4 linked regions of the Sus scrofa genome follow. The protein of the gene in region 1 interacts with the protein of each later gene in a biochemical or structural test. Links are inferred from orthologs where the notes say so. Each region holds a gene or a part of one and is shown on either strand. Other genes may lie near its edges.

The links.
Region 2: of the proteins of RPTOR (region 1) and MAPK1, one has a biochemical effect on the other in vitro, tested with the Homo sapiens proteins (2 studies listed by BioGRID, with this or other methods). The link is inferred for Sus scrofa from reciprocal best matches to the Homo sapiens genes RPTOR and MAPK1.
Region 3: the proteins of RPTOR (region 1) and AKT1S1 interact in a biophysical measurement, tested with the Homo sapiens proteins (2 studies listed by BioGRID and IntAct, with this or other methods). The link is inferred for Sus scrofa from reciprocal best matches to the Homo sapiens genes RPTOR and AKT1S1.
Region 4: of the proteins of RPTOR (region 1) and RPS6KB1, one has a biochemical effect on the other in vitro, tested with the Homo sapiens proteins (6 studies listed by BioGRID and IntAct, with this or other methods). The link is inferred for Sus scrofa from reciprocal best matches to the Homo sapiens genes RPTOR and RPS6KB1.

What each region holds. Positions count from the first base shown.
Region 1 is NC_010454.4:1,988,121-1,993,868, reverse strand, and holds the start of RPTOR (regulatory-associated protein of mTOR), read left to right. Parts: upstream 1-2,024; 5' UTR 2,025-3,101; coding exon 3,102-3,263; intron 3,264-5,748. UniProt on the Homo sapiens protein: Component of the mechanistic target of rapamycin complex 1 (mTORC1), an evolutionarily conserved central nutrient sensor that stimulates anabolic reactions and macromolecule biosynthesis to promote cellular biomass generation and growth.
Region 2 is NC_010456.5:50,080,975-50,086,604, forward strand, and holds the start of MAPK1 (mitogen-activated protein kinase 1), read left to right. Parts: upstream 1-2,104; 5' UTR 2,105-2,128; coding exon 2,129-2,871; intron 2,872-5,630. UniProt on the Homo sapiens protein: Serine/threonine kinase which acts as an essential component of the MAP kinase signal transduction pathway. MAPK1/ERK2 and MAPK3/ERK1 are the 2 MAPKs which play an important role in the MAPK/ERK cascade.
Region 3 is NC_010448.4:54,882,997-54,888,743, reverse strand, and holds the start of AKT1S1 (proline-rich AKT1 substrate 1), read left to right. Parts: upstream 1-2,113; 5' UTR 2,114-2,326; coding exon 2,327-2,906; intron 2,907-4,166; coding exon 4,167-4,244; intron 4,245-4,326; coding exon 4,327-4,610; 3' UTR 4,611-5,747. UniProt on the Homo sapiens protein: Negative regulator of the mechanistic target of rapamycin complex 1 (mTORC1), an evolutionarily conserved central nutrient sensor that stimulates anabolic reactions and macromolecule biosynthesis to promote cellular biomass generation and growth.
Region 4 is NC_010454.4:36,142,052-36,147,161, forward strand, and holds part of RPS6KB1 (ribosomal protein S6 kinase beta-1), read left to right. Parts: intron 1-1,841; coding exon 1,842-1,932; intron 1,933-2,097; coding exon 2,098-2,188; intron 2,189-2,903; coding exon 2,904-3,011; intron 3,012-3,565; coding exon 3,566-3,628; intron 3,629-3,821; coding exon 3,822-3,899; intron 3,900-5,110. UniProt on the Homo sapiens protein: Serine/threonine-protein kinase that acts downstream of mTOR signaling in response to growth factors and nutrients to promote cell proliferation, cell growth and cell cycle progression.

The sequences.
Region 1 (5,748 bases):
ATGCGTAGCTCTGGATGGGACCAGGCGTCTTTATTTTAAAGTATTTTCCCAGGTGACTCTGACAACCTGTCAAGTTCGGGGTTGATGGGCTCCTTTCACCTTCGCTTAGACGAAGGAAGTGGATTTCTCAGGGTGACTCACTTTCTAGGTGGGGAATCGGAGTCTCACACAGATGAAGTGCCTTTCCACAGGGCTACTTAGGAAAGAATGGGCTTGATGCTGCTGCTTTTCTGTGGCTGTGGCTGCCGGTGAGAGTGCCCAGTGACCCTGGCCTTCACCGTTGCCTGTGGCAGGTGACCATCAGCAGCCGCAGTTATACTGCTGCCTTGAGGCGACACCCTGCCGTTCTGAAGCCTCTGCTGGTGACTGTGGGGGATATTTTATGAACACAGGTCAGAGCAAGGAAAGGAAGATGTTAACCTCCATCTGTGTTTTGGTCAGTTTGCCCTGAGTTTTAATGGGAGAATTGGGCTTTTTGCGCTGTAATAACTGAATGCATATTTAGAATGCTAAACGAGAAAAGCCAAGCATTTCTGTGAAACGTCTGCTGTATGCTAGGTGAGAATAATCTGGGATTGCACTATTTACTCGGATGTTGAAAGGAACACAAATGCCATCAGGATTTTTTTTTTTTGGCCATGCCCGTGGCATGAGGAAGTTCCTGGGCCGGGGGTTGAACCTCAGCCCCAGCAGGGACAACACCAAGTCTTTAACTGCTGGGCCACCCGAGAACTCCTGCCATCAGTATTTTGAGATGGACTGCCATAGGGTGTCAAAGCCCTAGGAAACCACACTGAAAAAAAAGAGTATCTTCTAGAGCCCAGCCTGAAGTTTTAGATGAGTAAAGCTCATGGGGCTGCTAGATTTCACTCTAGCGAGAGACCCATCACTGCTGGCATTGTATTGGGTGCTCACTGCATACTAGATGCTTACATAGGTTAATTTATCCTTTAGGGTGGGTTTCTTTTGTTTTTGTTGTTATTTGTTTTTTGAGGGCCACACTTGTGGTATATAGGAGTTCCCAGGCTGGTAGTCGAATAAGAGCTGCAGCTGCCGGCCTATGCCACAGCCAAAGCCACAGCAACGGCACCTCAGGACCTGAGCCCCATCGGTGACCTACACCACAGCTCACGGCAATGCCGGATCCTTAACCCACTGAGCGAGGCCAGGGATCCGACCCATATCCTCATGAATACTGGTTGGGTTCTTAACCCGCTGAGCCACAAGGGGAACTCCTAAGATGGGTATTCTTAACCCAGTTTTACAGCTGAGGAAGCTGAGACTGAGTCGTTAACGGACTGACCAAGGTCACGGAGATGGAGAGATGCAGCCGAGATGCAGCTTCAGGTGGTCTGACCTCAGGGTGAAACGAAGAGGGGAGTTGAGTTTCTCAGGCCCTTACCAGCTTTATGCACCGGTTGCACATGTGTCTCCCTATATACTACGTTTACTGAAGGCAGCCTGCATGCTGCTTGGGACACAGTTCTCCACACATGGTGAATAGACAGTGTTTACCAAATAGAACAATAAAGTAACACAGGAGGGCTGCCATGCATAGAAATCTGTAGCTTTTGGAGTTCCTGTCGTGGCTCAGTGGTTAACGAATCCGACTAGGAACCATGAGGTTGCGGGTTCGATCCCTGGCCTTGCTCAGTGGGTTAAGGATCCAGTGTTGCCGTGAGCTGTGGTGTAGGTTGCAGACACAGCTCGGATCCCACGTTGCTGTGGCTGTGGTGTAGGCCAGTGGCCACAGCTCTGATTCGACCCCTAGCCTGGGAACCTGCATATGCCGCGGGTTCGGCCCTGGAAAAGACAAAAAAGAAAAGAAAAATCTGTAGCTTTTAGTTGTTTGCACATGAAACTATATCAAGGAATAAACCACTCAGAAAATACATTTTTTTTCACTTAGTGTCCCCTGAAAAAAATAAAATCTGATCGCTACTGTGGCGGATACTACAACTCCCCACCCCAAACACGATCTTCTTTTGTAATATTATCAAAAGCCTTGCAGCTTTTTCACAATCTGGAAGAAACAAGGGGTCGATTCCTTTAATTTCAGAAGCATGTAGGTCCATTTGTAATAATAAAAAGCTTTTTTTCCAAAATTAATTAACAGAGTTTCATTTATAGGACTGACTTCGATATGACGCATCTCTTGAACGAATGGCAATAAACTCTGGCAAACTGAATCGTGGTAACCATAGTAACGGGGGGGGAACCCTCTCGCAGTTTCCTGGGACGCACGGGCCGGAACGCTCTGAGGACATTTGGCCTGTTAGGCACGCCGTAGTCGCGCTGCATGCTGGGCCTCGGCAATATGGCGTCCTCCTTGATGTGCTGATGAGCGGAGTTTCACTGTAGCTTCAAACCAGAGGGCAAAAGTCCCGAGACCCAATAAGCCCACATTACGCATTTTTCTCCACGGCTCCGTGTCGCCCGTTTCTAAGGACTCGTTCTCAGGGAGGAGAGGGCCACGGGGCCGGAGGCCAGGACCAGCCAGGCCGCGCGGACTCGGGGCTGAGGAGCCGGCTGCGGGCGAGCACGATGGGCCGGTCCTGGCTCTGGTTGCAGCAGCTCCGGCGAGTGCGGGACCCGCAAGGCTGAGAGTGGCTGCAGGAGACCCGAAGCTCTCTGAACCTCTTCCCCTCGGCCGGAGACCTCAGCCCGGTCGGCGACCCGGCACCAAGAGCGGGCGGCCTGCCTGTCCTCGGATCGGCTGAGGCGTTGGAGGCCGAGGGCAGGGTCATCGTGAGGCCTGGAGTCTCGCACGCCTTTGACAGCTCCGCTCGCAGCCCCCCGGGAACCGACAGCCGCGGAAGCAGCCGGTGGCTTGGGATCTGGGCCGCCTGTGTCTGTGCGGAGCTCCTTGGGTTCCCTCATTTCCCACCGCTCTTCCCACGCCTCCGACTTCCCGCGCAGAGTTAGAGAAGGATCGCAGACTTTTTGCCTGAGTGAGGGTCTCCGCACACTCACTATCCGTTTCATTTTCTACTCCTCCCTCTTCTGTGTATTCGTTCGCCAATTCTGGTACACACTGGTTTTCAAGGCTGGAGGTTCTCGAGCGCTTGCTGCCCAGGACTCCCCCACCCCCTCCCCCAGTGATGGAGTCCGAGATGCTGCAGTCGCCCCTCCTGGGACTCGGGGAGGACGATGAGGCCGACCTTACAGACTGGAACCTGCCTTTGGCTTTTATGAAAAAGAGGCACTGTGAGAAAATTGAAGGCTCCAAGTCCTTAGCTCAGAGCTGGAGAATGAAGGATCGGGTAAGTGGATCGCGCCTGCGCCCCTTGGACCTTGGTAGTTTTTTTCAGGGAAGTTAGTTTAGAGCCAGAGGAGTGTCCTTGGGAAAGCGGCGGTATTTTTTCCCAGCTGTGTGTTTCAAGTCAACCAAAAAGCACAAACCATTTCAGACTCTGGGTCTTGGCTGTAAGTGGAAAAGGCTGTTTCGGTTCGCAGTTATTCCCTGGAGAGTTAATTCGGTACAAACTAAGTTCTAATTCAGACAGTCCAAGTTAAGTATGTTAGAAAACCCAGCATTGTCACATGCCCCTTGATATACTTGGCACTGTTAACACTTAGAGGAAAAACAGCTTGGGACATAATATTTGTACCCACGTGGTTAGTCTACTTTTGTGGCTAATTTACTTTTTCGGTCCAAGCTAGGGCAAGTGCAGAAGTCCAGTATCGTATGCTAGGAAACAAGGTTACTGGCAAATGTTCAGGTGGTAACAAGTTCATGCGTAGTTATTTCAAAGTTACGGTGAACTCCATCATAGCCTTCTAAACAGCTTTCTGGAATCCAGACTGTCCTCCTTTTGTGTGGTGTCTTGTTACTGTTACTTGGAGACGGAATTTCTCTAATAGTGCAGTTGGAGTATGACGGGGTGAAACGGGGGTTTAGGTTTTAGGGGGTCTTCGTGGTGCTGGGATGTGGATAGCAACTCACAAGCAGCTTACAGTAAAGGAAACAATTTTGTTAAATCTGACCTTAATTTGGAGAACTATTTTCCTGGTCTCCAGAGCAGAAGGATGGGACTCTCTCATCTGTACGTGCTTAGAATTTGTCTCTTTGTGTTTCGTTTTCTCCTTCTTTAAGACTCTTTGTTTCTTTGAACATTTTGGTATAAGAGAGGTATTTGGTGTTATCATGTAATGTGGTTGCTCTGGGCTTATGAAGATGTTTATATAAGATTGTTGTTTTTAGTAGGTGATGTTGAACATATATGCGCTTATCCTCATGGTCATTCTAGGTGGTCAGTCACTAGTAACTGGTGCTTCAGGTATTACCTGGCTTCTCTTTAAAAGGTTAGGAAAATTTGATTGATACAAAAGCAGTCTAAGGAGTAAAAGAGTTGGTCACTGGAAGAGAATGTATAGAGTCTGTCTTATGGATATGTTTCATACTAAATAGATAGTTCAGAGCTTTCATGGTTGCAAAGCATATCTCAAAAAATATATTTTAAAAGTAACTGCATGGAGTTCTCTGGTGTCTCAGTGGGTTGAGGTTCTGGGGTAGTCATTGCTATGGATCGAGGGATCGAGTTGCTGCTGTGGCATAGGTTTGATCCCCAGTCCTGGAACTTCTGCATGCTGCAGGCATGGCCAAAAAAAAAAAAAAAAAAAACAACGTAATTCTGTGGTCATCTTTTTTCTCCTGTTTGGAGGCCCTTCCTTTTTTTTTTTTTTTTTTTCCCTTTTGACATGTAGTTCCCTTGGCTACCTTAAACCCTTGGTCAAACTGTTCAAAACTGCTTAATGGATATATTTTTTATTTTTTAAAAATGTTTTTTGTTTGTTTGTTTGTCTTTTTAGGGCCACACCCATGGCACATGGAGGTTCCCAGACTAGGGGTTGAATCGGAGCTGTAGCTGCCAGCCTACACCACAGCCCCAGTAACATGGGATCCCAGCTGCATCTGTGACCTACACCACAGCTCATGGCAACACCGTATCTTTAACTCACTGAGCAAGGCCAGGGGTCGAACTCGTGTCTTCATGGATACTAGTCGGGTTCATTAGCCACTGAGCCATGACGGGAACTCCTTAATGGATCTATTTTTGACCTTTTAATTAAAACAGTAATTTGTGAATGATCAACATTCCCTGATAAAATCTTCAAAAGTTATTAAGTGGGAGAAAAATTGTGCGAGTCGGAGTAATTACTGAGATTCTGACTTAGAGCCAGGAGAGAAAATTTGCTGTATTCGGCCATTAAAGTTGTTTGATAAAGAAGACCAGCAGCTAGCACTTGCGGTTAAGTCTGTGGGAGCTGGGCGTCGCAGCAGAGCTGCCCCGTGTCTCCTTCCCTGGTTCGGCCCGAGGGGCCTTTGCAGCACATTTCGCAAATCCCGATGACACTCAGAGTTGGGAGGGAGCACGCATGAATGAAACGGGCCGGATAGAACGGGTGTAATGGCACAAGTGCATAGATAAGTGGCGGCTGAGGTTTGGCTCGCGTCTCCTTTTCTGGAGGGGGGCAACAGGGGGGCCTCTGAAGAACACACATTGCAGCTCAAGGGCAGTGGGGCTGACTGGGTCCGTTTCCCTTTCTCTCTCTTTTCTTTGAGACGCTGGAAACCCCTTTTCTTCCCTTTCAGTGTGAAGTTTTCCAGTTTTAAAATTCAGATGTTACAAAATGCGAAACAGTCCCTTGCGGGCCGGCTCTGGCCTGCGGGTTAGCCATGTGTCACTTCAAGGCTTTGGGATCGTGCGCACACAGGCACCCAGGCCAGGCTGCTTCCCTGCCCAG
Region 2 (5,630 bases), on another chromosome or scaffold:
CCTGGGAGGAATTGAGGCATTGGTGGGAACTAAACCAAACCATTAAGAATAGTTACAAGTACCCTGTCTGAGTGCTGCTAATCTTGTTCCTTTTTCCTTGGCACTTAATTGCTACATAGGAATCTGAAGAAAAACATTTTAGCTTAATTTTTAAAAATTTTATTTTTTGCTTTTTAGGGCCTCATCTTCAGCATATGGAAGTTCCCAGGCTAGGTTTCAAATTGGAGCTGCAGCTGCGGGCCTATGTCACAGCCACAGCAATGCCAGATCCAAGCCATGTAGGCGACCTATAGCACAACTCACGGCAATGCCAGATCATTAACCCACTGAGCAAGGCCAGGGATCAAACCCACATCCTCATGGATACTAGTCGGGTTGATAACCCACTGAGCCACAGGAACTCCCAGTTTTTAGCTTTTTAAATAAACAATCTCTTTGTCCTGATTATACATTGTGCTTGTTCTTTATTGCTGACGTTTCCGAACTTTTCCAGATCATGTCTTGAAGTTTTCTGCTTATTTATTTTTTCTGGATTCAGAGAACTCAATTTTCCATGTCCATCCTAGATCCTTTTGGTTGCACCCGCAGCATACAAAAGCTCCCAGGCCAGAGATTAAACCTTTGCTGCAGCAGTGACCTGAGCTGCAGCAGTGACAATGCCAGGTCCTTAACTGCTAGGCTACCAGGGAACTCCAACACCACAGATCTTTTTAGACATTAAGGCAGGTTTTCTTTTACTGTAAGTTATTGCCTCTAAGTGATTTGCTCTGTCTTCTTTGGGGAGGGGGTGCCTGTAGTTTGACTTTGTGGTGTTTGTTCTCTTGTACATTTTCTTCTTAAAGAATTTCATCACCAGCTTTTTCTCATAGTCGTCTCCTATCCTGCTGACTTGCTCTTCTACACTGTTAAGTCTGCTTATTACAGCTCCAACCATTGCTTTTACTTTGGCTATTGTGGTTTTAATTTCATGGTACCCTCTATTTATCTTGGCCTGTCCTTTAAAAGATGCAAGTTCTTCTTTTAATCAAGAATCAGGGAGTTCCTGTCATGGCTCAGTGGTTAACAAATCTGACTAGGAACCCTGAGGTTGAGGGTTTGATCCCTGGCCTTGCTCAGTGGGTTAAGGATCCTGCATTGCTGTGGCTTTGGCATAGGCCGGTGGCTACAGCTCTGATTAGACCCCTAGCCTGGGAACCTCCACATGCCGTGGGAAGTGGCCCTAGAAAAGGCAAAAAGACAAAAAAAAAAAAAAAAAAAAAAAAGGAATAAGAATCAGGTGTTGGGTTCTACTTTATGGACTAAACATATTTCAAAAGAGTACTTTTTGGCTGTAGCCCTTTATTTATTTTCTCATATGCCACATGTTTTTTTTTTTCCCCAGAGGATTTTTTTCTCTTTTGCTTATTCATCTTCAAGACTGTCTAGTTGATCTTTGTTGATGACTGGAAGTCCAGGCTTTCTGGATCACAGTGTCAGACAATCAGGACGCAGAATTTCCCACCCTTAGTCCCCTTTCCAAGACGACGCAGGTGACTCCAATGAAGTGGCTCAGAAGCAAGGGCTGGATCATCTTCTGTCTCATTGTCTTAGCTGTTTATCGAATTCACCTGCTTCAAGATTCTGCCTTTTATTTTCAACCTCTGGTGTTTGTGACTATTAAAGTTACAGTTGATTTATGTTGTGTTCATTTCTGCTATACAGCAAAGTGATTCAGTTATACATATATACATTCTTTTCCATTTTTGTGACAATCTCTGAACCTCAGTGCGTCTAACTCGTTTTCTCTAGATGTTAATACTTGTTTTTTTCGCGTTTCTACCTGGGTAAGATCCTGCCCATCTGTACCAACTTGGGTGCCAGTCTCTGAATCTCAGTGTTTTTCTCAGGGTCTCAACCCACTACTCCCGAACCCCTTACTCTGCTCTCCTTTTCTTCGCAGTACTTCGCAGACAACTTGAGTCTTCCTTCAGATCCATCGACCGTCCATCCATCATCTCCTGGAGGGTAGCTTCGAGGAGGGTGGACGCGCAGGAACGCGGTGACACTTGTTGAACGAGCCTCTGCCGGAGCGGGCCGCGTCCGGGCTTCTTGTCTCCGCCTCCCACTCTGGGTTTCACACTTTCTCAGGATGCAAATATCTCTCTCGGTCTCGGTCACCCTTCCGGCTTCTGTGCGGGTCTCGAGGCCTCTAATCTGTATGGGCCCCGGACTCTCACAAACCTGGCTCGGCGCGCGGGGGCGGGGGGAATCCGCCCCGGTCGCGCTCCTACTCGGAGGGAGCCGCCCGGAGCTTCTCTCGGCCCGCTGCCCCGCCCGTTCGGCCCCGCAAGCTCGCCCCGCCTCGGAGTCCTCAGCGTTTCCCCGCCGCCTCCCGCGAGCGCACGTGACCGCGCCCCGCCCCGCCGCTGCAGTGCTCCGCCCCCAACGCGCCTCTTCCGCCGGCCGCGCAGCCCTGCCCCCAGGCCGCGGGAGCCAATCCGCGCTCACGCCTACGGCCCTGCCCCGGCGCCCTCCTCGGCGCGCGCCCCTCCCTCCGCCCGCCGGCCCGCCCGTCAGTCAGTCAGGCGGGCAGTCGGTACGAGCGGTCGGTGGCTATCTACCTCTCCCGAGCGGGTCCCTCACTGATTCTTCCCGGCCAGCGGCGGCGGCTGCAGCGGCTGGGGCGCGGTCTCCCCGTTGGTGCAGCGTGGGCCGAGCAGCGGCCGCGGAGCATCGAGCCCAGTGCGGCGGCGGCGGCGGCGGCCCGGCAGCCAACATGGCGGCGGCGGCGGCGGGCGCGGGCCCCGAGATGGTCCGCGGGCAGGTGTTCGACGTGGGGCCGCGCTACACCAACCTCTCCTACATCGGCGAGGGCGCCTACGGCATGGTGTGGTGAGTGTCCATGCCCCGCGGCCTGGCCGCGCCCGCCGCCCTCCCCTCCCCCCCAGCCGGGCTCACCGCTGCTGCCCCGCTTGCTCTCCGGACCCCGACCCTGACCCCGACCCCGGACGCGGACCCAGCCCCTACCCCAACCCGGACCTCCGACCTCCGACCCAGGCCCGCTGCGCCGCCAACCGCAGCGGGGCCTCGGTCGGGGCGGGGCTGGTCGGGCTGGGGCGTTGCTCGGCGCGGGGAGGGGGCGGGGGGTGGACACTGGATCCAGGACCCCGGCCCGGGAACCTAGGCCCCCTCCGCCCCCCCCGCCCCCCTCCCCGGCCTGGGTGTGCGCCGCGCGGCCTGCTCTTCGCGCCGGGGTGGGAAGCCGCGAATTCCTTCAGATGCTGGCGGCGGCGGCCGCGGCGTGTGTGCCCCGCCCCGAAATGACCGTCTGTTATTTTCCTTCCCTCGCCTGCGTTTTCCACGCACGGCTTTCATCAGATACCTTCGGTGGTGCCAGCGGTGCTCTCCTGCGCAGGCTTTTGAAAAAGCATTAGTGGCGTCAATGTTTGTTTTGGCATATTTCATTCTTGATGAAGTTTTTAAATGGGTTTTAATATCGTACTGTCCGCGTTTTAGGAAAGATAAACCAGCATCCCTCTCTTGATTTATTAAGGAGTCATTTGGAGTTGGGCCTAAATTGGCTTCTTTTTCCTTTATCTCGCTTGAACTCTATTACCAGCATAAAGGCATCCAGACGTTTTAGCACAATTATTGTGGACTTTTACTGTCAATGCTTTAGTGGTCAATATGTATGCAGTCCTGGTGGAGTTCTTGCAGTGTCACATGCTGGTTCCCTCGTCTTGATGCAGATCCCTCAGAAACGTTTGTGGAGTGGAGGTGACGGTGTTTTTTTTTCGTTTTTTTTTTTTTTTTAAATTAGTACTAACTAGCTGTCTTGTGCTGATGAAGACTTGTGCAGGTGTGGACTCCCTTATACCTAAATCTTGTGAGTGTCTTTTGTGTTGAACGAAGGAAAAAAACTAATACTGAATGCTGCGTGGCAGGTACTGTGCTAGATATATTATCTCATTTTATTTGAATAGTCAGCTGGTGGGAGGGAAGGGCTGTGAGATCTTTCAGATGAGAAAGTATTTCTGGTAAAGCCAATTCCTAAGGTCATTCAACTAAAGAGTCAGACTTGAGATTGTAGACTGAGAATTTAACTTCAGTTGCTGCAGCTCTTTTCATTACATCCTATTTTTCTTAAATAATGTTATTAATAATTTTAGAATTCTAGTCTGTCTTACTCATAAGCAAATCTATTTCAGAAATATATTCAACTTTAAATGATCTTGATTTCAGAAAGGCCATAGAGGGCATGATTTACCAGTTACATTAGCTAGGTTCAAAGACTACATAAACTTTAAAAAAAAAGAAAAAGACTTTCATTGAATCTTGAATATTTTCATTCTTTTCAAGATCAAAATGCTTCAAAGTATACAGCTGAGAATTAACGTGAATTCAGAGGCTAAGGAGCCAAAAGCGAAATTAAATTAGTTGAGGCCTAAAAGAAATGCAGTCCTAGAATGCAATGGAGAGAAAGTAATGCCCCACAGCATCACTTGTGTCCTACATCTGATTGCTGTTGTATCTGCTGGTAAGTGTGCCAGTAAAGGTCTCTATGAAGTGTTCAGAATTGCCTGTCATGTCCTTCAGCCCTTCCAAAGAAGATAAATTAGAACCTAAGATAGACTCTGAAAAGAACTAGTTTTGGAGTTCCCATCGTGGCTCAGTGGTTAACAAATCTGACTAGGAACCATGAAGTTGTGGGTTCGATCCCTGGCCTTGCTCAGTGGGTTAAGGATCCGGCATTGCTGTGAGCTGTAGTGCAGGTTGCAGACGTGGCTCGGAATCTGCATTGCTGTGGCTCTGGCATAGGCCAGGGGCTACAGCTCTGATTGGACCCCTAGCCTGGGAACCTCCATATGCTGCGGAAGCAGCCCAAGAAATGGCAAAAAGACAAAAAAAAAAACAAAAACCAAAAAACTAGTTTTATGACAATCCAGTTTAGAGGTTTTTTTTTCTTTTTAATTTGATAAGAATGTTTACTAGTCTGAAGCTCATTTAGATCTGCTAACTTTCTGTAGCTTCTGTAGACTTATTTGACCTTCTAAATCTCTGTCGGGTAAAATACCAAGCCCTCTTAATGTGACGTTCCTTTCTTAAGTAGGATCCAAGTGTAAATATTATTGGAATTAGAATCCTGGGTACAGATTATAGCTTTTTATCTTCAGATTAATGATATTTAATATAAGAATTAAATCCATGTCACACATTATTAGCATTTAATAAATGTTGGTTTACATTGTTGGGTTTATGGAGGATTTCTTGATTGAAATAGTAATATTTGAATAGGGATGTTTTCAAAAATTTAATGCTTCCAGAGGATTTAAGTGTTTTGGGAGAAAAAAATTTTTTTTCACTCCCTGAATCAGTTCATTAGGAATTTGCTTTTTCTGTGCAGAGTCCTTTCCTAATCATCATGTGGAGAATATAAAGATGAAGAGTGGAGCTTGAATTGGGCCTTTAGGAGTGGGTGTGATTTTGATAGAAAGATAATCGGTGCAAGTGACAGTTTGAGCTGTAGACTCTAATTCTGGAAAAGTACTTAGTTGGCAAATTGTAGAGGACTCTAAAGCCGAAACCAAGCTTGAGCGTATATTTGTGCAATGGAGAAGCATCAGTGTTTTTGAAAAGAGGCAGACACATGG
Region 3 (5,747 bases), on another chromosome or scaffold:
AGACAGCAATTTCAGCCCTACTTTTGCCCTTTCTAGCTGTGTGCCTTCTGGCCAGTACCTTAATCTCTCTGAACCTCACTTTCCCATCTGGACTAGGAGATCATAAATCTTTCCTCATAAGGTTGGCAGGATGGCATTGGGAGTTCCTGTTGTGGCACAGTGAAAACGAATCCAACTAGGAACCATGAGGTTGCAGGTTCGATCCCTGGCCTCGCTCAGTGGGTTAAGGATCCTGCGTTGCTATGAGCTGTGGTGTAGGTCGCAGACGAGTCTCTGATCCCGAGTTGCTGTGGCTGTGGTGTAGGCCGGCAGCTATAGCTCCAATTCAACCCCTAGCCTGAGAACCTCCATATGCTGCGGGTGCAGCCTTAAAAAAAAAAAAAAAAAAAAAAAACAAGAACAGGCTCTGGTCCCAACTGACAGATCCAGGTCCCAGCTCTCCTTCTCTCTTGCCAAATGCCCTGTCAAGATATTGAATCTCCCTGGGCCTCAGTTTGCATCTGTAAAGTGGGGTGAGCAGAGCTCCTCCCTCATAGGGTCATGGGATGGGGGAGGCGGGGATGACCCCCTTGGGTCCCTGCCGGGCCTGTGGAAGGTGCAGTAGAACTTGCTCCAGGGCTGTCAGGGCTGGTGCTGGTCGCGCTCTCCCTGTGTGTCACTTCTGGCAAGGGCTTTGTGAACTTCGGTTGTCCTGTTTGTGAGGTTAACACCTCCCACCTTAGTGGGTCAGCTCGGAGGTGAGCCAGCGGGCGCAGGGTCCTCGCACAGAGGAGATGCTCAGCAAACACTGGTTTCTGTGCTCATGGGTCACAAAGGGCCTGCAAGCTGCAATGAAACCACTACCACCCCAGCGGGCTGGATCACAACCCTGCTTGGATCCCTCCAATGATGGGGAGCCCACTCCCTCTGTGGAGGCTCCACAGCTGCCCAGCAGCCCTAGCTCAACCGCTGATTTACAGGGAGAAGACAGTGAGGCCCAGAGCAGGCCATTCAGGGGTCCAAGGTTACACAGCAGTCTGGGCAGGAAGCCAGGCCCCTTGTCCCTTCTTCTCACCTGGTAAGGGGATACTTCCAGCAGGTGGTCTGTTGAGAGCAGACCTGTCCTGAGGACGCAGATCTCTGACCTCAGGTTGCCCGTAGTCTGATGGAGGAGGCAGAAGGAGGTACAGCTGTCACAGGCTTGTGCGCCCCTGAGCTATGGTGCAGGTAGCCTAGGGCACTGTGGGTCTAGGGAAGGCATCCCGTCTGTCCTGGGGAATCACGGAAGACTTCCAGAGGCCCTGCCGAAACGGGAACGAGAGCTCTGCGGGTGGAGTCCGGGCACAGAGAGCAGCTGGCACACCATTTTCTGCTCAAGCCCGGCTCTCTGTGGCCAGGCTAGTGTCTCAGAGATAATCCGACAGGCCTGCGCTCTGGCCTGGGAGATGCATGTGGATCCAGGGGGTATTCCCCGGAGGGACATGTGCTAGAACAAAGGTCCCTTGGACTTTGTGGGAACCCATAGATGGGGCGGGCTGACCTGATCTGGGGGTGAGCGAAGGAGTGACAAGTTCGAGAAGGACAAGTGGTCCAGGAAGCGGGGTCCACCTTGGCGGAAGGCCTCAGGAGTCTAGCAGTGTGTGAGGCCGGGAGCAGGCCCCCCAGTGCCGGCCTGAGGGGCTGTGACCTTGTCAGGTAGAAGGGCTCCTTCGGGGCTGTGTGCCGGCTGGGCTGGAGGCTAGGACAGTGGTCCAGGGTGGCACCGTCCCGCAGACATGATCCAACCATGTGTATAATTTCAGATTTTGTCTAAGCCCCATTAAATAAGTAAAAAGGAAAGAGATGAAATTCATTTGACCATATATTTTATTTAGCCAGCATAAATAAATGTCATCCTTTCAACATTTAGTCAACTGCAGATGGCTCATGAGGTATTTTCCATCCTACCTTTCTGTACTAAGTCTTTGTTTTTTATTTTATTTTATTTTTTCAGGGCCACACCCGCAGCATATGGATGTTCCCAGGCCAGGGGTTGAATTGGACACTGGTTGCCAGCCTACACCACAGCCACAGCCACAGCCACAGCCACGCAGGATCCCAGCCACATCTGCGACCTACACCGCAGCTCTCAGCAACGCTGGATCCTTAACCCACAGTGTGAGGCCAGGGATCAAACCCATAATCTCCTGGATACTAGTTGGGTTCCTTACCACTGAACTACGGGGGAACTCCTGCACTGCATCTTGGAAACCCTGTGTGGATTTCACTCTGGTAGCCCCGGCTAGCTGTGGATCAGTTACCTCTCCAGGGCTCCCTAGTCACACGTGACTGATGGCTTCCGTGTAGGATGGGGCTGGGCCGAGAGGAGGACAGGGCCTGGCGATCTGGATGGGCGGGGATCGTGGGGGGTGGCGGGTGGGGGGCAGATGCTGAGCTCCGCGGGGATAAGGCCGCTAGCCGGGGGTGGCTGGAGTCGGGGACCGGGGACGCCGGGGACCGCGGCCTCGGCCTCAGCCCCCGCTGTCCTGCTCTGGCCCGCAGGGCGCGGATGGCGTCAGGGCGCCCCGAGGAGCTGTGGGAGGCCGTGGTGGGGGCTGCCGAGCGCTTCCGGGCCCGGACCGGCACGGAGCTGGTGCTGCTGACGGCGGCGCCGCCCCCGCCGCCCCGCCCGGGGCCCTGCGCCTACGCGGCCCACGGTCGAGGGGCCCTGGCCGAGGCCGCCCGCCGCTGCCTCCACGACATCGCCCTGGCCCACCGGGCAGCCGCCGCCGCCCGGCCTCCCGCGCCCCCACCAGCACCGCAGGCGCCCAGCCCCGCACGGAGCCCACCCCGGACTGCCCTGGCCCGGGAGGAGGATGAGGAGGACGAGGACGAGCCAACAGAGACAGAGACCTCGGGGGAGCCGCTGGGCGTCAGCGATAACGGAGGTGAGAGGGGCAGGGGCTGGGGTAGCTCTTGGCAAGTTGCCTCCCAGGTGGGTTTTCCCGAAGGGGTCGACTTGCCTCTGAGCCCTGGTGTTCAGGGAGGCTGCAGGCTTACCTGTGAGTCACTCTGACCCCGAGCGAGTCATTGCCCCTTTCTGAGTCTCGGTTTCCTTAGATCAAGCTGGGCACAGAGAAGGCCACCTGGGAGACTTCTCTAGGGCCTCCAGGTTGGCCAAAGAATTGGGGTCCTGACATGAGACGGTGCCCCACGGAGGCCGTGGGGTGGGGAGGGAGTCTCCTGAATCAGGAGCATGAATAGAACAGAACTGGGGTGTCTAATGCCCAGGAGCTAGAGGAGTCAGGGCTGCCGCAGCAGCCGAGGAGGCCGGGGGAGGAAGCAACTGGCTCTTTGGGGGGAAATGTGGCAGTTGGTTGCTTCCCAGAGACTGGACTATATATAACATTAGGGCTTTGAAGACTGATTAGGAGTTTTCAGTGGGCAGCTCAATAAGTAGTGGTTACTCATTTGTTACTGTCAGTGGCTGGCTTCCTCACTGTTGCTAGAGAAATCCACATAGGGTTCAGGGCTCAGACTCTGGAACTGCCTGGCCAGGGTTCAAATCCTGGTGACCTTACTTATTAGATGTGGACTTTCGGCAAGTAAATTAATCTCTCTGCCTCCAGGTCCCCGTTTGTCAAACAGGGCTCATAATTATCTCGTCATTCTCTCAGCTGTATTTTGAGTCCGTGCATCCCAAACAGATCTTATAGATTTCATGTTCATCGAACCAGTTGCTTTCACCTGGGGACATGATGGAAACTGGATTTTTTTTTTTTTTTTTTTTTGTCTTTTTGCCATTTCTTGGGCAGCTCCCACGGCATATGGAGGTTCCCAGGCTAGGGGTCTAATCAGAGCTGTAGCTGCCAGCCTACGCCAGAGCCACAGCAATGTGGGATCCGAGCCGCATCTGCGACCTACACCACAGCTCACAGCCACGCCAGATCCTTAACCCACTGAGCAAGGCCAGGGATCGAACCCACAACCTCATGGTTCCTAGTCGGATTCCCTAACCACTGTGCCATGATGGGAACTCCTGGATTTATTTCTGCTGCCGGCCAGGCACATAACCAGGGGGAGGGAGTGATAATTCCAGAAGCTTCGAGCCTTGCAAGGGCCTGACCAGCGCAGGGCACTGGGAGGTGGTGGCAGTGTCTGGAGTCTGGCAGGACCCAACTGGCCCCAGCCCCTAACGCCATCCACAGGACTCTTTGTGATGGACGAGGACGCCACGCTCCAGGACCTGCCCCCCTTCTGTGAGTCGGACCCTGAGAGCACAGACGGTGAGTGTCGCAGGCTATCCCCATCCCCAGAGGAGGGGAGGACGAAGGCAGGAACAGAGGCTGAAGTCCACCCTCTCTACAGATGGCAGCCTGAGCGAGGAGACCCCTGCTGGCCCCGCAGCCTACTCAGTGCCCCCCGCCTCAGCCCTGCCCACACAGCAGTATGCCAAGTCCCTGCCTGTCTCCGTGCCCGTGTGGGCCTTCAAGGAGAAGAGGACAGAAGCGCGGTCATCTGATGAGGAGAATGGGCCGGTGAGGGGCAAATGGGAGGCGGGAAGGAGGGGCTTGGGAAGCCACCTCCTCCAGGAAGCCCTTGGGATGAGGATGCCACGTGTCACAGGACCCATCCTCCCCTCCACCTCATAAGGCTGGTTCTTGGGCCGGAGCCCTGCAGTGTTAACCACCCACAGCCTTGTAATGCATCCCGGGCCCGTGCAGAGAAACAGCCTCTCCCTTCCAGGAATAGTTCCATTTATAGAACATCTGCTCTGGGCAAGGCACCAGTATTTTGGTACCGGCTCCAGGCGGGGGAAGCTGGAGCACAGAGGGCTCAGATAACCTTCCACCCCCACCCGTCTCCTCCCGGACTCTGTGCCGTCTCCTTTGTCCTCTGTGCCGTCTCCCTTGTCCTCAGTTGCTCCCGTATCATCCTGGGTGGGTCCTCACCTCCCATCACTAAAGCTACTCGCAGCAGAGGGGAAACCGAGGCACAGCGTCCACAGGACTTCCCTGAGGCTCAGCCTGGATGGGGCAGAGCTGGGATTGGAACACAGCTTCCCTTTGGCGAAAAGCTATGGACTTCGAGGCAGGAGGTCTTGTGTCCATCCCATCCCATGGTTCCCCTCCCTGTGACACCTCTCAGTGTCCTCATTTACAGACTGGCAGGGCCCATCATCAGCTGCTGTCCTTTTTTTTTTTTTTTTTTGTCTTTTCAGGGCTACACCTGTGGCATATGCGGCTATTGGACCCAGGCTAGGGGTTGAATCAGAGCTACAGCTTCCAGCCACAGCAGCGCCAGATCCGAGCCACATCTGCAACCTCCACCACAGCTCACAGCAACTCTGGATCCTTAACCCACTGAGCAAGGTCAGGGATTGAACCTGTGTCCTCATGAATACTAGTCAGATTGATTTCCACTGAGCCTCAATGGGAACTCCCCGCTGCTGCCCTTCTTTGTCACTGGTGGAAACAGTTATTTAACTGAACATGTGAGTCCTGAGTACTGGGCCCCGGGCTGGCCTCTGAGAGGGCGCAGGTCTCGCTTCTGTCATGGCCTCTCCCATTCTGCTAGGAGTCAAGCCCAGCTCAGGGTGACAGCGGCCCTGAGGTGGTGCTAGGTGCCTGGGCTGCAGGCAGAATGACAGGACCTCTCTGCTCTGAAGACTGACATGGAGAGGGCTCCTTTCTGTACGCACTGGTGACAAGTCTTCACCTTTCTTGAGCAGTCGCTGTGCTGGTTATGTCAGGCCGTCATCAGCCCCATTTATCGGAGGGGAGACCAAA
Region 4 (5,110 bases), about 34 Mb from region 1:
GTTGATGATATGAAAGAGAGTTGAGGATAACTAGCCACTTAAAAAACTTTTCTAGTTTAACCCTTACTCTTTAGAGCTTGTCATCTTTTGAAATGGTGAACCAAAGCCAGTCCAAATGCTAATTTTGGCTGGTTCCTTCAACTGGAAAGTGAATCTTTTTTTTTTTTTTGCCTTTTCTAGGGCTGCCCCCGGGGCACACGGAGGTTCCCAGGCTAGGGGTCTAATCAGAGCTGTTGCTGCTAGCCTACATCAGAGCCACAGCAACTCGGGATCCCAGCCACGTCTGCAACCTACACCATAGCTTATGGCAACTCCGGATCCTTAATCCACTGAGCAGGGCCAGGGATGGAACTGCAACCTCATGGTTCCTAATGGGATTCGTTAACCACTGAGCCACGATGGGAACTCTGGAAAGTGAATCTTAATGTTATAAATTGAGTTTTCTTTGTTGATGAAGATACATAAATATTAGAAACAATACTTTTATGATAAATTGTATTAATTCTCTAAAAAAGAAAAGGATTAGAATATAACCAAAATATTTGATATAGCCTTGGAAATAAAATATTTTTTAGTAGGCTTCAGTTTATTCTTGCTATTTGTTGGTAACAACAAACGTACAAATCAGATAGACTAATATTCTGTACAGCTGTAGTGAGCAGAGTGAACCTTGATTATAACTGCATGCTGCTACAGACAGTTGAACTTTGTGAGAATAATATGGACTAGGCAGGCTTGGCAGTTCAGGCAGTTCACTCACATTCCAGAGGAGTAGACAGCCAACCTGTCTGGGGGCTGGGGGCTGGTGGCTGGTGGCAGCTGTTGATCCCTACCAGATGACATACAAGGTAGCTAATGGTTTAAAATTCTTAGACAGAAAATGGTTTATGGACAGCTGTTGCCGGAATAAATGTTTCGAATTGTGGCTTCTTTCCTTTTTTTTTTTTTTTTTTTCTATTTTTTAAAGGGGAAACTCTATATTTAACCAAGTATGTCATGGGTATCTATATATCTCCTTCTTTCCCATTTCTGCCCACATTGCCCCAAACCTAGATTCTGATTCTGAATTCTAAGGCAAGGGATAGAATAGGCAAGTAACTAGTTAATTTCTTTGATCCATAACCTGAGTGTGTTCAGGTGGTTTTGTGAAAATAAAGGTCATATTTCTTTTTCTCTGTCAGAGTGATGTACTATTTATATTGTCTTTTCTTTTCTTGAAATAAACCTGGAATAGTAGAATCCCTGGAGTTGCTGAACTACTGGATAGCTAATGATAATTCAATAAAGCTAAACCTGAATTGAAATTTTTTTTGTATAAGGTGATAAGTTTCTCACTTTCTGGATCCGAGATGATGGTTCTATGCTATGCAGCATTTTCTTTTTTTTTTCCCTAACCGCAGAATAAGCCGACTTGTTACAGTGACTGCCTGAGACTGTCAGGTCATGGTTCATGGTGATAAAAGCTATATAGCTGAAGTACAGTGTTACATTTTTGTTTAAAACTGTAGAATATCTTTTTTAGGATCTATGTACTTAATCCAGACTTCGTCACGTTTTCTTAGGACTTGTGAAGATAAAGGATTCTTGATGTAGGTGAAGCTAGAGCCTTAGACAAGCTGTTTCACCTTTTCTCATCTTTATTTTCCCTTTACTAGATAATTTTGCCCTACCCTTAAAGTTAGTATCCTTTTTATGGGTGGAAATTTTGTAGTTCTTGATATCTCACAAATTTTAGGCAGAAAAAGTAGAATGGAAGGATATATTATTGTCTTATATGATGCATTCAAACATTGCACAGACTTAGAATTCTCAGAATAACCATCTTTAATCTTTCATTGTAGGTCATGTGAAATTAACAGATTTTGGACTATGCAAAGAATCTATTCATGATGGAACAGTCACACACACATTTTGTGGAACAATAGAATACATGTGAGCTGCATGTTGAAAGAAATATTACTGGTTTGGGGGTAATAGCTAACTTTTACCTAGTTTCAGTAATAGTAGCAACATTTGGATCTATATAGTTTTTAAAATTTTAATTCAGATGATATGCAAATAGTGGATTTTTAAGGCACATTATTTTTCTCATTGTAGGGCCCCTGAAATCTTGATGAGAAGTGGCCACAATCGTGCCGTGGATTGGTGGAGTTTGGGAGCATTAATGTATGACATGCTGACTGGAGCAGTAGGTGCACAGTTAAAAGCTGCATGTGTTAATGGTCTTTGCCGAGCAGTTATTAAGTCACTATAGCAAGAGAACTTTCCTCTGCTTTTTGAAAATGTTACCAATGAAGTTACTTCTAAAAATCTATGGGCCTTTCTACTTTTATAAATATTTTCATTTAAATGATTTATGTCATGGACTGTGGTCCTGTGAAATGGATGTAAAACATACTGCCCTTATTTTATTTTACTTTTTTTTTTTTTTTTTTTGGCTGCACCACAGCCTGTGGAAGTTCCTGGGCCAGGGATCAAATATGAGCTGCAGCTGCGACCTGTACCACAGCTGCAGCACCACCAGATCCTTAACCCACTGCACTGGGCTGGGGATCAAACACATGCCTGTGCAACAACCTGAGCTGCTGCAGTTGAATCCTTAGCCCACTGTACCACAGCAGGAACTCCCTGCCCTTATTTTATAAATGGAGAAAGGAAAGCATAAAATCACATGGCTCACCCATTATCACACCAAATGAATGATGGAAACCCAGTTCCTTTCAGGACATTGCTATTTCCTCTCTGCCATTGCTTAAAACCCACAGATCTTTAGCAGTCATCCCTTATCACAGCGTATACTTCTGGTTTTGATGCATAGCTAATTCAGGAAATGGATAATTCTGTTATTTAAAATTTGATTTTTTTTTTCTATGCTAATTTTTCTCACTCTCTTCTACTCTTAGCCCCCGTTCACTGGGGAGAATAGAAAGAAAACAATTGACAAAATCCTCAAATGTAAGCTCAATTTGCCTCCCTACCTCACACAAGAAGCCAGAGATCTGCTTAAAAAGGTAGGGTTCTAAAATAGGCACTCAAACCATAAGCCTACTAGGATTTAAATAGATAGAACTGAATATTTGTTTGTTTTTGTTTGTTTGTTTTTAAGGACCACACCTGCAGCATATGGAGCTTCCCAGGCTAGGGGTCTAATCAGAGCTGTAGCTGTTGGCCTACACCACAGCCACAGCAATGCAGGATCTGAGCCTGCGTTTCGACCTACACCATAGCTCATGGCAACACCAGATCCTTAACTCACTGAGCGAGCCCAGGGATCGAACCCATGTCATCATGGATGCTAGTCAGATTTGTTTCTGCTGAGCCACAATGGGAACACCCTGAATATATATTTTGGATACAGAATCATACACAGATGTTGACAAAGCCTGTAGTTTTTGCAGGCACAGTACAAATTTGTTTGATAAAGATTTTTTTCTTTTTATTCCTAAACAATATTTAGTAGTAATTAATAAATTATATATTCTCAAAGCAAAATACACTATAAAGAAAAAATAATCAATTTGACTGAGTAAAGTTCATCAGTGTTTTTTTTCTCCCTTCCCTAAAGCTGCTGAAAAGAAATGCTGCTTCTCGTCTTGGAGCTGGTCCTGGGGACGCTGGAGAAGTTCAAGTAGGGGTTGGCACGCTTGGTGGTTTGAGGGGAAGATCATGCTAATTTTATGTATTTGTGAAGGTTATATGTAGTTGCTTCTAAGGATAGCTTATTTTGTGATTGGTAACTTCAAACAGGCTGTTAATTTGTCAGTCCAGTGAAGTCTGTTCCTCAACCTTTCTTCCTGCTGTTTTGTTTTGTTTTTCCCTAGGTTCATCCATTCTTTAGACATATTAACTGGGAAGAACTGCTTGCTCGGAAGGTGGAGCCCCCTTTTAAACCTCTGTTGGTATGTCTACGTGAAAGCATATAATTTGAGGAAGCTGGTGCTTTTTCAAAAAAGGAAAATCTCAGCGCAATTAGAAACGTATTTATTAAGTTCAAAAAATTTTTGGCCTGTCCTCTCTTCTCTTCAGAATCTTTATTCTGTGTTGTCTTTTCAAGAACTGCCAGCAGCAATTACTGGCTATATTAACTTTTTTTTCTTTTTTTTTTTGTCTTTTGTCTTTTTAGGGCCACACCCGCAGCATATGGAGTTTCCCACGCTAGGGGTCTAATCGGAGCTACAGCTGCTGGCCTACCCCACAGCCACAGCCACGCAAGATCCAAGCCATATCTGTGACCTACACCACAGCTCACAGCAGTGCTGGATCCTTAACCCACTGAGCAAGGCCAAGGATCGAACCCACAACCTCATGGTTCCTAGTCAGATTCATTAACCACTGAGCCACAATGGGAACTCCAACTTTTTTTTTTTTTAATGGCTGTACCCATGGCATGTGGAATTTCCTGGGCCAGGGATCAAACCCATACTACAGAAGTGACCTAAACCACTTTTAGCAGTGACAGCACTGGATCCTTAACCCACTGAGCCAGCAGGGAACTCTGATACTATTTTTAAGTTGGTTGCCTAAGATGGTTAAATATTTCAAGGAGCTGGGACTTTTGTGTTTTTATGCTTTGTTTTGTTTAACCCAGCCCTGTTTTGCTTTTCTCTAACAAAGTATCAAACGAGGTGGCTTAAACAAAGACATTTATTATGTCATGGTTTTGCAGGCTAGAAGTCTGCAACCAAGGTGTTGGCAAGGGTAGTTCTTTCTGATGACAACGAGAGATCCTGTTTCATGCCTTGGTGGTTTGCTGGCAGTCTTTGGCATTCTTTGGCTCGTAGGCATCTCAGCCCATCTCTGCCTTTTTTGTAAGGACACCAGTCATATTGGATTAGGATCCCCACCCTCTAATCCACATTTTCCCTTTTTTGTAGGGACACCAGTCATATTGGATTAGGATCCACACCCTCTAATCCAGTATGACTCATTTTAACTACATCTGTATCATCCTTCATTCCGAATAAGCTCACATTCTGCAGTTAACTGGGTTTAGAACTTCATCATAGGAATGTTGGAGGGACACAATTCAAACCATAACAATGTGTTTATGAGTAAATGAATTAGTGTATTAGTTCTTGTCTTTCTCCTATTTCAGAATTTGAGAAAATAT